Linked DNA regions of Yarrowia lipolytica. The protein of the gene in region 1 interacts with the protein of each later gene in a biochemical or structural test. Links are inferred from orthologs where the notes say so. Each region holds a gene or a part of one and is shown in the gene's direction. Other genes may lie near its edges.

Evidence for each region.
Region 2: of the proteins of YALI1_B02550g (region 1) and YALI1_E27207g, one has a biochemical effect on the other in vitro, tested with the Saccharomyces cerevisiae proteins (2 studies listed by BioGRID). The link is inferred for Yarrowia lipolytica from reciprocal best matches to the Saccharomyces cerevisiae genes MDR1 and SEC4.

The regions. Positions count from the first base shown.
Region 1 is NC_090771.1:251,826-260,317, forward strand, and holds YALI1_B02550g (uncharacterized protein), read left to right. Parts: upstream 1-3,236; coding exon 3,237-6,140; downstream 6,141-8,492. Other genes in the region: YALI1_B02533g (uncharacterized protein), read right to left, coding at 374-1,519; YALI1_B02604g (uncharacterized protein), read right to left, coding at 8,207-8,492.
Region 2 is NC_090774.1:2,716,747-2,723,418, forward strand, and holds YALI1_E27207g (uncharacterized protein), read left to right. Parts: upstream 1-3,940; coding exon 3,941-4,552; downstream 4,553-6,672. Other genes in the region: YALI1_E27182g (uncharacterized protein), read right to left, coding at 326-1,474; YALI1_E27196g (uncharacterized protein), read right to left, coding at 2,002-2,919; YALI1_E27218g (uncharacterized protein), read left to right, coding at 5,111-5,698; YALI1_E27229g (uncharacterized protein), read left to right, coding at 6,192-6,245, 6,313-6,672. UniProt on the Saccharomyces cerevisiae protein: Involved in exocytosis. Maybe by regulating the binding and fusion of secretory vesicles with the cell surface. The GTP-bound form of SEC4 may interact with an effector, thereby stimulating its activity and leading to exocytotic fusion.

The DNA.
Region 1 (8,492 bases):
ACTCGGTGCTCTGAGAAACTGCACACCTACTCGGAGCTCTGATAAACTACACACCAGAGCTATGTCGGAAGTTGACTGAAACAACTATGAAACCAATGACCTTGTACCATTATCACGGGCGTTCACCAATACCAGATTAATTGGTTTTGAGGCCTTACACATGAGGCACTGGGAGAACACACGATCCCGGGACTGTCTCTCTCAGACATTAATCTGCGTCAAGACGAAGTACTAAAGAGCTCTAACATGTCACGGCAACCAACCCCCCGCATCTTAGTCATAAATAAATTACTATACAGGTTTTGTATCGTACACCTCGCCAGCAGATTCCTCAGGGGCGTAGCACAGCTCATTCCTTCCAATGTCTCCATCACTAATAAGCGCTGTTCGGAAACATCACTGCCTTCAAGTTGTTCAAAAACCCCTTGTCGTAGATGTTAACAATCGGTTTATGGTCCGTCAGCAAGGTCAAGGCGAGACCATTCTGGGCAACGTACTCCCGCTCCTCCGCTGTCAGAGATCTGTTCGGTCGTCCCTCCTCGTCTTTCTGCAACAAAATGCTTCGATCAAGCTTGAAACCCGGCTTCTGAAACATCCATACACTGCCCTCGGAAATGGCAGCATGGATATCGCCCCATTTATCCGTTTCATTGGTGGTGGCTCCAAGGTAAATATAGTAGAAATGCATCGCTGTGAAGGCACAGGCTAGAGCACCGGTAGACACCGACAGCAGAAAGATAATCCCCACCCGTTTGTTCTCATTGGTGATCATGACCTGCCACCATTGCGAAAAGATACTTGGCAGCGGTTTGGGATGGTCCTTGTACTCCGCGGCCACCATGACAATCATTTTGAGGCCTGCCAGAAGAGCTCCCCAACACAGGGTCCAGACATTGCCCAGCAGGAAGAAGAGGAACCATCTGTAGTTGTACAGACCCACCGTGTTGTTGATCCAGAGACAATAGTGGTCGAACTTGGCAACGCACTTGTTGGTGAACCGGTCGTGCTTGGATCTTGCAGGCTTGGTGAACTTGCACGTGCTACATTCTGTGTCTTCCAGGAACATGAGGTTGTCAAACCTGAACTGGTTGAGCAGCAGGGCGTGGTTTTGTTTGGTGATTTTGCCGGGGTCCGAGAAGGTGGCAAGTACAAAAGATACAACCAGAATCGTGTAGGCCACAGGCGCCAGCCACGCGTAATACCAGTGATTTTCTGCGATGAACGGATGCAAATCTTCATAGTAGGCAGAGAACATGTAGGTCGTGAAGGCGCAGTAGAGAATGGGCACGGACCATGGAGCTGCGGGAGCAACCACAGAGCCGCAGAAGTCGCCCACTACCGAGAGACGGCCCCCACAGTACTTTGAGTCCCACGATCTGATGGCTGCCGGACGGTTGCTGAGCCATTTTCGGAACTTCCAGACCGCAGTGTCCTCGAATTGAGGCAACGCGCCGAACAAGAACACAAACGTGAACACGGAGATGGCCAGGATCGAGAGTAGGTAGATTTTGAGCCACATTGTGCAATGTTGGGTGTTGCAATGTGCTGGTGGTGAATGTCGAGATGCGTCAGATCTGTTCACTATGCAGAGTCATGTGACCGAACTTGGTTGTTTAAACAAAACAAAAGATGTGCATTTTACTTGGATAAAATATACGGAATATGCGGGATATACAGAGGTTGTTCAAGGCAGAAGAAATGACGATAATTGTATCATATTGTACCAAAAATGCATGCTTGAAATGCTCATGGGTGGCCATATCTCCTTCCGAAGACAGGCGTGTCCTTCAGCTCGCTATGGAGGTGATTTGGACACTTTCGTCTAGAATAACAATAATAATCATGATAATAAAAGTCTCTCCAGCACCTCGTCTTAACTGCTACTTGTAGTAGGTATTATTTTATGTCGTATCGAAGTGACAACACGACCGATTGGCCACCCAAAAGTACGTCACGGGACAACGCCGCTCTAGTTATCTTTGCAGCCATCGAGGGAGAAAGTAAATGCCACCTTGTGGTCAACATTCTAATGGGCTTAAAATGGCCTAATTTTTTTTCTTTCCCGAGTTGAGCAAGTTCATCTGTAGATCTATGCTGTTGGTGATGTCACACTGTACTGTAGTTAGTAATAACAATAATGTCAGCGGTGCTGGGTGACTCCTTCAACACTCGAGATGACTCGCAGGAAGAAAGAGACTCATTGCAAACAACCCGACCAGTCCCACACGGTCGATTTTCCTCTATTTTACTCTTTTTCCCGGAGAATTTCTTTTCCCATGATTCAACTTCGAGCTATTTCCTTTTTTTCTTTTTTTTTCCTTCTTTCCCCTTTTTTCCCTCTTTTCCCTTTTTTTCCTTTTTTCCTTCCTTTTTTTCTTTCTTTCTTTTCTAATGATCCGTTTTTAATTCTAAAGATCACCATTTTGGGACGTCCCAGCTCGTGCACCTTTAGCCCCGATCAGGACCTTAGACCACTACAATAAGCCCATACGTGTCCTTAGCGGGTCAGGAGTTCGATCCTCGACCGGAGTGGTTTGGTTTCTCACCAATTCGCGTCATTTCGGCGCTCTTGGCATGTCACAGCCGGTTATATATAGCTCAGCCAAGATTCACCCTGACAGCCCGAGGCAGCCATTCCGGAGAGAGATAGGAAAAAAGAGAGATAGAGAGAGAGCAAGTTGAGTACAGTGCGAGTGCAAGTAGCTACCGGCACGGCCTGAAGGAAAAAGGCTACATCAAAACCGTGTCCTTTACGAGATCCACAGCTACAAGTTCTGCCACACTCTGATTTCATCCCATTACTCCGAAAGCTGTATCTCTCTGACATAATTTTTTAATTTTTATTTTTAATTTTTATTTTTTAAATATTTTATTTCTACAATGTACAGTACTGTAGTTAGTTTTCTCCGTACTGTACTGTACTTGCCCTTGATGTGGTATATCCAATAAAACAGCACTTGATACAGCCTGAGAGCTACAAAAAAGCTGTCAAGACTATCATATCCATCCTGGACCATTCTAGACCTGTCCAGACGTCCCCAGACCACTTCACGTGACCGCTATCCTCCTCTCCACGTGACCTCCCACTCTCAATGTGTCCCGGTATATGTTATCCCCTCTGCGCTATTACATGCACCATCTGCATACTCCCAATCACCACTATCGTGCAGGACTCCACTCGGTGAACACCACACAACTGCAACTACACCTTTTGAGCTACTCGTGCCAGTGGAGCCATGTCGTTTCTCACCTCGCTCAAAAACAAGGCGCTGGAGCTGTTTGAGCCGGAAACCTCGTCCGGCGTCATCCAGACCGCCGCCGATACAGCGCAATTTTCCGACTACAAACGCCGACTCAACAAGGACGAAAAGTTCCGGCTTCAATTTAGTCTGCCGGACTCGCAGAAGCTGCTGGCGGATATCAGCGTCGAGGTTGCGCTTCAGAACGCAGAAAACCCGCCCGTCAACCCGGGCCAGGCGGCCCGCTCGGAATCTCTCATTGAGTTCTCCAACGTCATCTACCAGGGCAAGCTGTACCTGTCGGACTCGTTTTTGTGCTTCACAGCCACCGACGCGCGTCAATGCTCGTTTGCGCTGCCCCTGCTGACGGTCAAACGGGTCGAGCGACTCCCGCTCAAGTCGTACCTCTTTGCGCTGTCCATCAAGACATACAACGGCCTGACGCTCGTCATCCAGTTCATCGGCATCAAGTCCGCCTGCGACCGCTTTTCGCTCGCCCTCAAGGCCCAATTGGGCAAGAACCTTGCCAAGATCAAGTCTCTCAAGCCCTTCCTCGCCACCCTGTACTCGGAGTACTTGTTGAACGTAATTTCTTCCGGCCAAAAGGGCGACGCTCCCCCTCCACCACTGGGAGGTCTCGGACAGGTGTTCCGATACCCCGGAGACGCCAAAAAGCTGCGGGATAAGTCCAAGATGCGCCTGTGGCTCGAGTACTTCCAGACGCATGGACGCAACCTGACTTTGGTGAGACAACAGACCTTCTACAAACTCATCCGAGTGGGTCTGCCCAACCGACTGAGAGGCGAAATTTGGGAACTCACGTCGGGGTCGTTGTACCTGCGTCTCGCCCACCAGAGCATGTACAACGACCTGCTTGAGGAGTACGAAGGAAAAACTTCTCAGGCCACAGAAGAGATTGAAAAGGATCTCAATCGATCTCTGCCGGAGTACTCAGCTTACCAAGACGAGGAGGGTATCGCCAGACTGAGACGCGTCCTCACAGTGTACTCCTGGAAGAACCCCGATGTTGGATACTGTCAGGCCATGAACATTGTCATTGCCGCCTTTCTAATCTACATGTCTGAAGAGCAGGCCTTTTGGTGTCTGAATGTCCTCTGCGACAAAATGCTCCCCGGATACTACTCAAAGAGCATGTACGGCACGTTGCTTGATCAGAAGGTGTTTGAGTCTCTGGTCGAGAAGACTATGCCTCTTCTGTGGGACCATCTTCAGCGATGCGACGTGCAACTGTCGGTCGTCTCTCTGCCGTGGTTCCTTTCAATTTTCATCAATTCCATGCCTCTGGTGTTTGCCTTCAGAATCATTGATGTATTCTTCCTTGAGGGACCCAAGCTTTTGTTCCAGGTGGCTCTGGCTATTCTTCGAATCAACGGAGAGCGGCTTCTTGAAGCTGATGACGATGGACTTATGATTGGAATCATCAAGGAATACTTTTTGACACTTGATCAGTCAGCTCACCCAACTTCAAAAAACGAGAAGCTCAGATCAATCACAAAGTTCCAAGAGTTGATGGTTGTCGCTATGAAGGAGTTCTCTGTCATCACTGAGCCTCTGATCACCGAGCAGCGGGCCAAGTATCAGGACCGGGTGCTGGAAGACATTGAAATCTTTGCCAAACGAACTTCCATCCGAAACCTTCACAAGACCAAGAACTTGTCTCAGGATGATCTGTCAGTCCTCTACGACAGATACCACACTTACCGAGAAATGAATCTGGAAAACTACCAGAACTTCCTCTCGTCGGTGGTCTGTTGGACAGAACCTCAGGAACTTTCTATTGACGGTACACCCGACTTTTTGCGGCGTCTATACACCCGCTGGGACGCCGATATGAAGGGCACTTTGTCTCTTCAGAATGTTGTCACTGGAATTGACGCTCTGAAGCAGTCCGATCTCATGGGTCTGATGACGTACTTCTTTGAGCTGTACGACGACGATGGAGACGGCCAGATCGATAGAGAGGGTATTCTGAGCATGTCCGAGGGTTTGCTGTTCCTGACAAAGGCCTGGAGAGAAGGTACAGTGTACACTGATGGAGCTCCCATTCTTGATCAGATATCGCTTGTGGAACTTGACCGAAGAGAGCAGGAACGCCAGGAACTCCTGCAGCAGGAGGAGATTCGTCTGGCCGAGGAGATGGAAGCTCTCCGTCTCGAGGCTGAGCAGCAGAAGCTGGCTGAAGAGAACACTTCAGAAGCTATTTTTGACACTCCTGACACCGATGAGGACGATGCCAAGAGCACCAAGAGTTCCAAGAGTGCCAAGAGCGTGTCTTCTCGATCGATCAAATCAACTATCGGCTCAATTGGAGCCGCTGGAGGTGCTGTGAGCGGAGCTGCAATTGGAGCTGTTCGAGGAGCTGTCAGACGAAAGTCGTTTAAGGATATTGGCGATCCTATGCAGGAACGGCAAAAGGTGGCTCATGAGCAGAACGTGCGGTATTTGTCTGCCGTTTCTGCCTTCATTCAGCGTGCTTTTGAATATGCCAACGAGGCCAAAAAGGAGGCCGACAAGGAGGCTGCTGGGGACAAGGGTAAGGATTCTGAGGACTCTGTAGAGGCTCACAATGCAGCTCTTGACCCTAGCAAACCCCTGTTCATCGATCTGCCCACTTTCCGAATGGTGGTTCTGGCCGATGAGACGCTCGAGACGCTGTTTGCCGTGTCTCTTCCTCAGAGTGTCATTCTGCGACAGTCTGATGCCGATAGACACAAGCGAGCGTCTCTGCGAGACGTGTTTGACGGTTTGGTGGCGGATGGAATGCGCGTTGCAGGCGAGGTGCGAAAGAGAATCGACATTGATAAGAGTGTCAATGACTCGGAGGATATTGGAGAGGTGGTGAGTGGTAAGGATCGGGATGTGTTGGATGAGGCAATCTAGAGAGATATTGAGGTTGATGGCGTCATGAAATGAGCGGAGCGAGCCGCGAGACTCAGACAGAGACTTCTCAGTGGACACGTGAGCGGTTAGCGGTCCACGACCACTCTCCAAATGTAGAGATGATTAATGTTAATGTTTATGATATGACAAGATGGTATATGTACAACTGTAGAGTGACCCAGATCACGTGTGTTTGTGGACAGTCACGTGATCATCCTCCCCCACAGTGCGTGACAGCCATCTGGTGAAGTTCAGAAGAGACGATTGAGCTTCAGATTGTTGGTGTGTAGAATGGTTGAATGATAACGTACGGAATGGTGTGACCAATAGTTACCCCTTTCGCGAGCCAGCCATTGATTGGTCTCTCTTAATGACTCTTGCCATGTCCCACTGCTGTCTAAACCATGTCAGTTGAGATATTAGTTAGACTTTGTTAAGAAGGAAAGAGAGCTGTGGGACCATATCTACGACTACAGACATCGTGAAGCTATAAAATGTAGCCCATATGGTAGTATATAAGTCCTTTGATAAGTGTTTCCGAGTTGTAAAGTTTTTCACCGTGAATTATTTGTCTATCTGAGATTCAATTTTTATTTCATAACCAGTATTGTTGACATTTAGTTGATTTACTTTCACCAGTTACATAGACCCAACCACACAGTCCAGAACTTGGAATAGTGTACCGAAAGACTTGGGAAGAGATCAATTCTAAGAAACTACAAAAGAAGGATATTATATATCAGTCAATGTGATAGAATCTAGTCTATTGATGTTCTCCTAGCCACGTTGAGTCGTCTCTGGTTGTATCACCATAAGAAGACCTTCAACTCGCACAATACTGTTCCGATAACAACTAAACGGAAATGGACTAACTGAATCAAACTGAAGATAAAAATACACAGAAATAACCGCCACGATCGAACTAGGTCACGTGACTTTCGGGGAAACAACAACTTGATGATGATATGCCTCTACTCAGGTGCATAGATAAGGCCTGATCATGCAGGACAGTTTTCTTCGTCAACTTTTGTATCTTCATGACTACGTCAAAGACTCAATTGTGGCAGGTAAAAGAGCGGTGAATGATGGAACAAGAATTCTGAGACGTGATTGAAGGGCCAATTGAACAGGGTACTCGAACCTAGGGTCTCAGCTCATGTGCTACAAGTTCCTGTTGCGGCTGTGACTATCAAAGGCCGCCTTTCATTTCCCACATGGAGTTTGGTCATTATTTTTTCATGTTTTTGTCATGGTTTTGTCACGAATATACAGTAAATCTTTCCACTCTTGACGTTTTTCCACAGCTCTCGTTCATAGCCGATCTCGTTGTAGTCAATCAGACGGGCCATGTTGCCGGCACCATTCTGCTGACTTATGGGCCTGCTCCTACTGTAGTGTCATGAACAGCTGGTCCTATCAGTCAGCATGGTAGTGGCAAGGAGTCACGTGATAACCGATTCCGCAAGAAGGCAATATGAATCAAACCTCGTCAGATGGTTGGAAGTCGTAGAATTATCTAAGGGCACCTATCTATGGATCATTACGAGGGCTCCCAAGGCTTAACTAATATTACAACTAAATATCGTTAAATCCAAGTAGTTCAACAAAATGTAGACCGTTGCAGAATTTGGTTACTACTTCAATAAGGGATGGAAATGTTCCGAAACTTGATCAGATGATTTTCAAGACTGAAATGGACTCCGATAAGGAATGAATGTATAAAAATCCACTGTAAATACGGTACAGTACGAGTACGACGAGTACATGCTCTCTTTGCTGTGCATGTATGATCCGAGAAACGGGTCCCGAAAACATGGAATACGACTGCGAATCGACAGTTCAAATCTCTTTTTTACAATTCTCTTTATAACACAATTTATCTCTCCTATATTAGCTAAGATCTTAGGGTCAAGGTAGCTCCAGAAGTAGCAATGCAGCGATAGCATCGACACTCGGTGGTTAATCATTCGCCGTTAGTTATCCAGCTAGCTCTTCATACCTGCTATTCGTATCTGTTAGCCATCGTACTACAAGTAGCTGGCACTTCGCACTAGGGTTTAGCACTGCTAACACTGCCCCACCTCTGTCTCATACTGGCTCCACTCCTTCCAGGATCCCAGATAAATCCCCCGGTTTTCATATCCACATTGCTCTCCCTGTTTTTCAGCCATTCGGGCCCGCACTCCGCTCTGGCAGTAGAAGACCACGTGCATGTTCTTACTGGGCTTGGGGAACCCCATGGCCGTTTCAAACTCCTCGGGGGACTTGCACAGGGCGAACGACTGCGTTTTCAAAGGCATGTTGAAAGCGCCCGGAATGAACCCCGCGGCGTACTCGCTGGGTTCCCGCACG
Region 2 (6,672 bases), on another chromosome or scaffold:
AGAAAAGAGCCAAACAACGATACACTACAGCGCGCGTAGAATGTGAGTATCGTACAGTACAGATGGGTGACAGGACAGTGACGTCAGTTGACGGGCATAATTGGACAGTACGAGTGCTACAAAGCGCCAGTGTCTGTTAGCTACATCCATTCACGTTACATGTTCCATTCCACAACTAACGACAGCCGCTAATGCGATCCTAACACCACCTATGGTTATCTTGCTCCATCGCGAACGGACCCCTTATCATTGTCGCCCCCAACTATGGCACTGCCGATCAGTCGTGTGCTGCGTGCAGCATGCAGGATGGCGTCATCCACATGGCTCACATGAGAACCCGACCGTCAAATACGGCTGACCAGGTAATGGTCTTGTCATCGGTGTCAGAATCCTGCTGCCACGGAGATATCTCCAGATGCGAGTGGAGGGCGTGAGTGGAGTTCTTCTTCTCGGTCTGCGGCTCCTCGTTCCACTGAGACACCATGATGTTGTTTTGGCGCACAGTGTGCAACTTGCCATGACTCTTGGTAGCAATTCGAACGGTGCCTTTCAACTGATCTCTCTTCGCAATGCGTACACCATGACCATTGGGATTCACCTCATCGCCACTTCCCAGCCTGCCATGAGTGACAGGATCAATCACACTCACTCTGCTCTCAGAAGTCGTGATCTGTAGACAAAAGCTTTGCTCGGTGACCACCTCGTTCACTTGGCAGAAGACGGAGCTGTACAGACTTTCGAGCCCCAGAGCACCGACCCACAGATGCGCAAACTCGTCAAAGAAGGGGGCTGATTGCACCAGAGCAGCTCGGGCTATGCCAGACGTGTCGGGACTGTTACACACCTCTTTCAGTCGCTGTTTGCACTGCTGAGCAGCTCCTGAGTGACGAGGCGAAACAGGCTCAGAGGTCTCTGGAGCTGGTTTGTGCACAGACTTGAATATTAGCGCCAGCAGTGGGTCTGAAGTGCCTATCATGTCCAAAAACAGCGGGAGTCTGCACTTGCGAGCGTTGATCTCTTTGATGACGAGATCTGGAGAGAAGGCGAACGGTTTGGTGTAGTTGGCAGGTACCAGGAGGAAGTAGTCGACTAGAGCATGGTACTGAGGGAGTCCAAACGGCACAGAGGTCTGCATGAACTGCGACATATCTCCGTCATCACACCCTGTCGAAAGATACTGGGTGCTGTTGAAGACGAACAGAAGGGTCGTGTTGACGGGAATGTCGACCTTGCGGCCGGCCAGATCCAGAGTGCGACAGTCCTGAGACAGCTCCTGTGAAATCGAAGCAAAGATGTCGGCTGTCATGGCATGAGGTAGGATCTTGTAGAAAGGATGGGAGTCGTCTTGATCGTCGGAAAACAAGGACACTTGGTCCATCCCCAAAATGATATCTCCAGGCGAAGGTGAGCTCCATGCTGTTGCGAAAGAAGATAGGAGCAGTGACAATATCTGTACTGTTGTTGTTCTCCTCATTTGTGTGCCTACAGTACAAGTATTGTAGCAAAGTGAGGGACCACCTTATATTGAAGAAGCATCTTAAATGACGGACCTGAGAGCTACTTCGTAACTATAGAAGGTACAGCATTCGGTACTTGGAGCTCTCTGGGGATCTGGAAGCTATCGGGGCGCAAAAGTTGGGTTCTAGCTAGCGTACAAATACGTTCGTAAGAGGTACACTCATACCCCTACTGTACCTACAGTATTTCTGCTATATGCATACTGGGAAGCACAATGATAACCATTGTATCAGGTTCACTCATTATCTTCATTGAAGTATCAATTATCATCCTCGTCACCTACAAGCGTACCAGTCCTTGATAGTATTAGAGCTGACAGGGCCATTCGTCCATTAGAGACGTTGCCAATCACTTTGCAAGTCATGTGCATTACCAGAGGCCATTTGCCTATCTACCGACCTTACAAGTAAGAAAATCATTTCGCTCATGATCTCTTGCTGCAGGAGAATATATTGCTGCTAGCTCAGCTATGTACACACTAGTCTAGTAAAAGAAGGAACCAAACCAGCCCTTGCTCTTTCGGTCTCGGACAGCCTTGGGCTCCCAGGTCTTAATGTCCTCTCGGATCTTGGCCACGGCCTCCTCAGCAGTCAGGTTTCGTCCCAGCACGTCCAGGAACTGTCCCTCGGGATCCATGAGGTAAAAGAAGATGGAGTGGTCAACGAGGTAGTCCTGACCAGGCTTGACGTTAGGAGGAGTGGAAAAGTAGACTCGGTAGGCCTTGCAGGTCTGCTTGATCTCGTCATAGGTACCAGTAAGACCCAGAATCTGAGGATGGAACTCGGACAGGTACTCCTCTAGAACCTCAGGAGAGTCTCGGGCGGGATCACAGGTGATAAACAGAGGCTGCAGCTGGCCGGGGTTGCTCTTGTTGACCTCGTCGATCATAATGGCCATCTTATCGAGCTCATCGGGACAGATATCGGGACACATTGAGAATCCAAAGTACAGAAGCGAAAACTTGCCCTTAAGGTCCTCACTGCTGAAAATACCGCCCTTGTGATCCTGAAGCACAAAGGGGCCGCCCACAAGGGGCTTGCCGTAGCCTCGGTTGGCCTCAGCCTCTCGTCGCTGGGTCACCTTGGCCTTTTCGCTCTGGAAGAACCAGTAGATACCCACTCCAGAGGCCACGAACAGAGCAAAGACCTTGAAGTCGAAAATGCCCTTGTATTGTCGTCGGTGCATCTCTCCGGGAGAAGCACCCTTGGAGACGGAGATTCGGGACAGAGGCTTTCGCTTGGGCTTGTCTCCTTCCGAAGAAGCAGGAGCCGCTTGTTGCTCGTTATCCTTGGGAGGCTGTGTGGAGTTCCATCGCTTCTGCAGAAGAGGCTGTGTAAGAGGTCGGGCGATGGCTGCGGATTGCAGCGGTTGCAGTCGTAAACGGGTCAATGTTCGAAGCATTGTATGGTGTTGAGATGCGTGAAGATCAGGGCAATGATGAGTTGCACCTGTAATTATGAGCTTTCCTCTGCATGCGATAGAGTTTCAATGTGTTACCCGGAAGTGGCTAGTGTGGCGTTATGAGGCGGCAAAGCAGATCGGGGTTTGATTTTGCCCGCAACGTGCAAAGTTTATTGACTACGAGTGAATGCAAGTACGAAAACAGTACTCGTAGCTACTATACAGAGAAGGCCGGCGGTTGTAGATCGTTGGAGTCGTAATATACAAGGTACAAGTTTCGTGCGATATCACAAAATTTTAAACAAAGTCATAATCTGTGTTACTTTGGCTTACTAACTCTATTAACGCCAACTTATTTCCGGACCGAATAATTACTTTACGAGCAGACAATGACCTGACAATGGAGATATCTCCAGTAAGTCCGTATCGTACAGCAGTGTGCAAGTATCCTAGTTCAGACAGTATAGTGGTCGTGCGGATGACGCAGGGGTGATAATATTAGTAATATAAGAGGGCGGTCTCTTAGTAACGTACACTGGGGGGTGCACAATGAGTCAGCCTGGTCCGTATATCGTTGCCCAAGCCGTATTCATTCCACTAAGACCGAAAACTAAGAGCAGCACACTAACTTAGGATCTTGCCACCGAGACGACCCGTGACGTAGCAAAAGTGTGCATGGTGGCCCAGTTGGGACAAGACAAGTTGAGTGTGCGGTGTTAACAGGGAGGTTGTTCTAGAGGAGTAGATGCGGCGATAGAGGGCGTAGAGGGTCGGCGGAGGGGCGCGGGTGGTGAGAATGGGGCATTTCCAGCGGTGAGTCAACTATATATCAAGTCTATTAATCAGTTTGGCGGCTAGCTCCTCCACTATCGTCTCCCTCCGTCATGTCCGGTAGCATGCCACCAGCCCCTGCTAATAGAGTTCACAATCACAGGACTATCTCCCTGCGCACCACGAGAGAAGTCCACCATCATCTTTTGAACACACACCAACAACACACCTTCGTGATTGTCTAGATACCATGTCGCACTCCCAGAGAACATACGACCTGCTGATCAAGCTGCTGCTGATAGGCGACTCCGGCGTGGGCAAGTCGTGTCTGCTGCTGCGGTTCTGCGAGGACCAGTTCACCCCCTCCTTCATCACCACCATTGGTATCGACTTCAAAATCCGAACGATTGACATTGGCAATCAGCGGGTCAAGCTGCAAGTGTGGGACACGGCCGGCCAGGAGCGGTTCCGAACCATCACCACCGCCTACTACCGGGGCGCCATGGGCATTCTGCTGGTGTACGACGTGACGGACGAAAAGTCCTTCAACAACATTGAAAACTGGTACCAGAACGTGCAGAGCTACGCCAACGAGGGCGTCGAGCTCATTCTGGTTGGCAACAAGTGCGACCTCGATGAGAAGCGAGTCGTTTCCACAGAACAGGGCCAGGCCTTGGCAGATAAGTTTGGCATTCCCTTCTTGGAGGCCTCATCCAAGACCAACATTAACGTCGAGGAGTGTTTCTACTCGGTTGCCACTCGAATCAGGGACACTGTGGCCAAGACCAAGGGCAACGAGTCTGGGTCGGGCGGCATCAACATCGCCGAGGGCGAGGAAAACTCCGCCTCCAAGTGCTGTTAACTGAAGAGGGTATATAGTATATTAATTGCGTCATGAATTATAGTAAGATGCCAGTCAGACTCTGTGATGTAGTGTTGTAAGTATCTACCAGTAGTACAATGGTTGGTTTCGCTTTCTTGTTAGGACACACTTCAGGACTATCGACCTACTTGTAGATCTTTAGATAAATACAAACGATTCCGTGTTCTCTATGGCAGTACTGTGAAAGATAAATCAACATGTTAGTATCATAATGGAGAAGTGTCGATACACTTTAACTAGCTACTTGTACTGGTACTTCTAGCTACAGTAACTGGTGGAACCGCCCGTTCTTGTGCTGGTACTCGTACTGGTACACTTGTAGACTGCTCATTGAATCAATATCACCGCTCTACGGCGCCATCTAGCACGGTAATAAACAACTTCAAAAAAGTATACCTCTGTCATCTGTCACTTCTATCGTACAAGTATGTACATACTGTACATGACGAGATTCTCCATAAATACTGTAGACTACAAGTAGCTAATCAAAGAGCCGTTCTATTTCTACGCCCACATTTTGTAAACCATTGTCCAACAATGACTTGTCTACGTTCTCATGAGGCCATGAGACCGAGCAAATGGCTTGTCCGACTGCGGTGGCTCACTCATTGGACCATTCACAAGCCATTGGTTCGCTCACGGGTCATTAACCACGCTCATGATCGTCAATATCCACATCTTTATGCTATACCCTTATTCAACACCCTTCTTGTTGAAGTAAACCCACTGGTCCTCCAAAGGCTTCTCCTCCAGCTCCTCCCAGGGCTTCCACTCGCTCATCTTCTTGGCGAGCTCGAGCTCCTCGTGGGCCTGGATGACCACCTCCTCAATGAGACCGGCTCCGATCTTGTTCTCGATCACCTCACTGACCTCGTTGTCCTCCACAATCTGCTTTCGGTGAGCAGTCAGGTTCTCGATGGACTGTCGGTAGACAGAGTCCTTGGGGTGCTTGTCTTGCAGCTCCTTGAGGGTGGCCTCGTACAGGGCAATCAGTGCCGGTCGGGGGTTGGGATGCTGGTAGATACCGGTCAGACCGATAGGAGCTTTGTTAGTGGCATAGACAAGACATTCGTCTCCTGTCGTGGTGACATCAGACGTAGTTGTGTAGTGCACAGTCAGGTTTAAAAACCACATAGATACTCACTTCCCTCTCGCATCTGAACGAGGACGCTCTGGCCACTCTTCTGGACTCCCTTGGAGACGTTTCGCAGCAGCTGTGTGTATCGCATTTTTGGGGTTGTGTTCTGAGCCTCCGAGCTGAACCGTGATCTTGACGCTATTACTACAGAGCTTGAGATTTTACCCTTCGTTTGGTTGGCCAGAACCTTGTTTGGGGGTTAGGGTTGGGAGTACATGGGCTTTGATGTATTACTTGGGGGGTTAAGTAATTATTAACAAAAGTGTTTAAGTTGGTAAATATGCAATAAATTACAAAAATGAGTATCAAAATCAATTTCTCCAGTAATTTCATGGTATATTTCATATTCATCACCTTCCCGACATATCCATTACATCCCAGTAACTACTCTCCTTTCTTGTTATGATATTCATCTAAGTTCAAACATGCATCTCCACACTTTCATATCTCCATCACCATCTTACTAACAACACACAGCAAATGGGTGTCTTGCTGTCTTGCTTAAGAGGGCCCGTTGAGGAAGACCCTCCTGGTGTGAGTATTCATTTGATTGCCGGCATCTTTTCCCCACACACTCTCTCTATGCAGATTACTAACCCAGATCTCCGAAAATGAACCTCTTCTTGGAAACAACACAATCGACACCACAGACGATAATGCAGTGGACCCTTCGGACCGCCAGAAACGCATGTCTAACCTGCATCAGATTGTGACGAGCACCGGCTCGAATCTCATCGACGTCGGCGCGGTGGCCCAGGTCGAATCCCCGAACGGCATCACCCAAAAACGAAGTGCCTCCGACTTCAAGCGCCAGCTGGACCCCGAAACAGGCATTGTGGTGCTTGCTAGCGATGCTTCTCACGTGAGCAAGGCCAACCTGAGCGAAAAGGACAAACAGGTGGTTTCCAAGCATGTCGGCAAGTTTGTGGAGCTGGTTGCCAAGGAGTCCAACGTCAAGCCG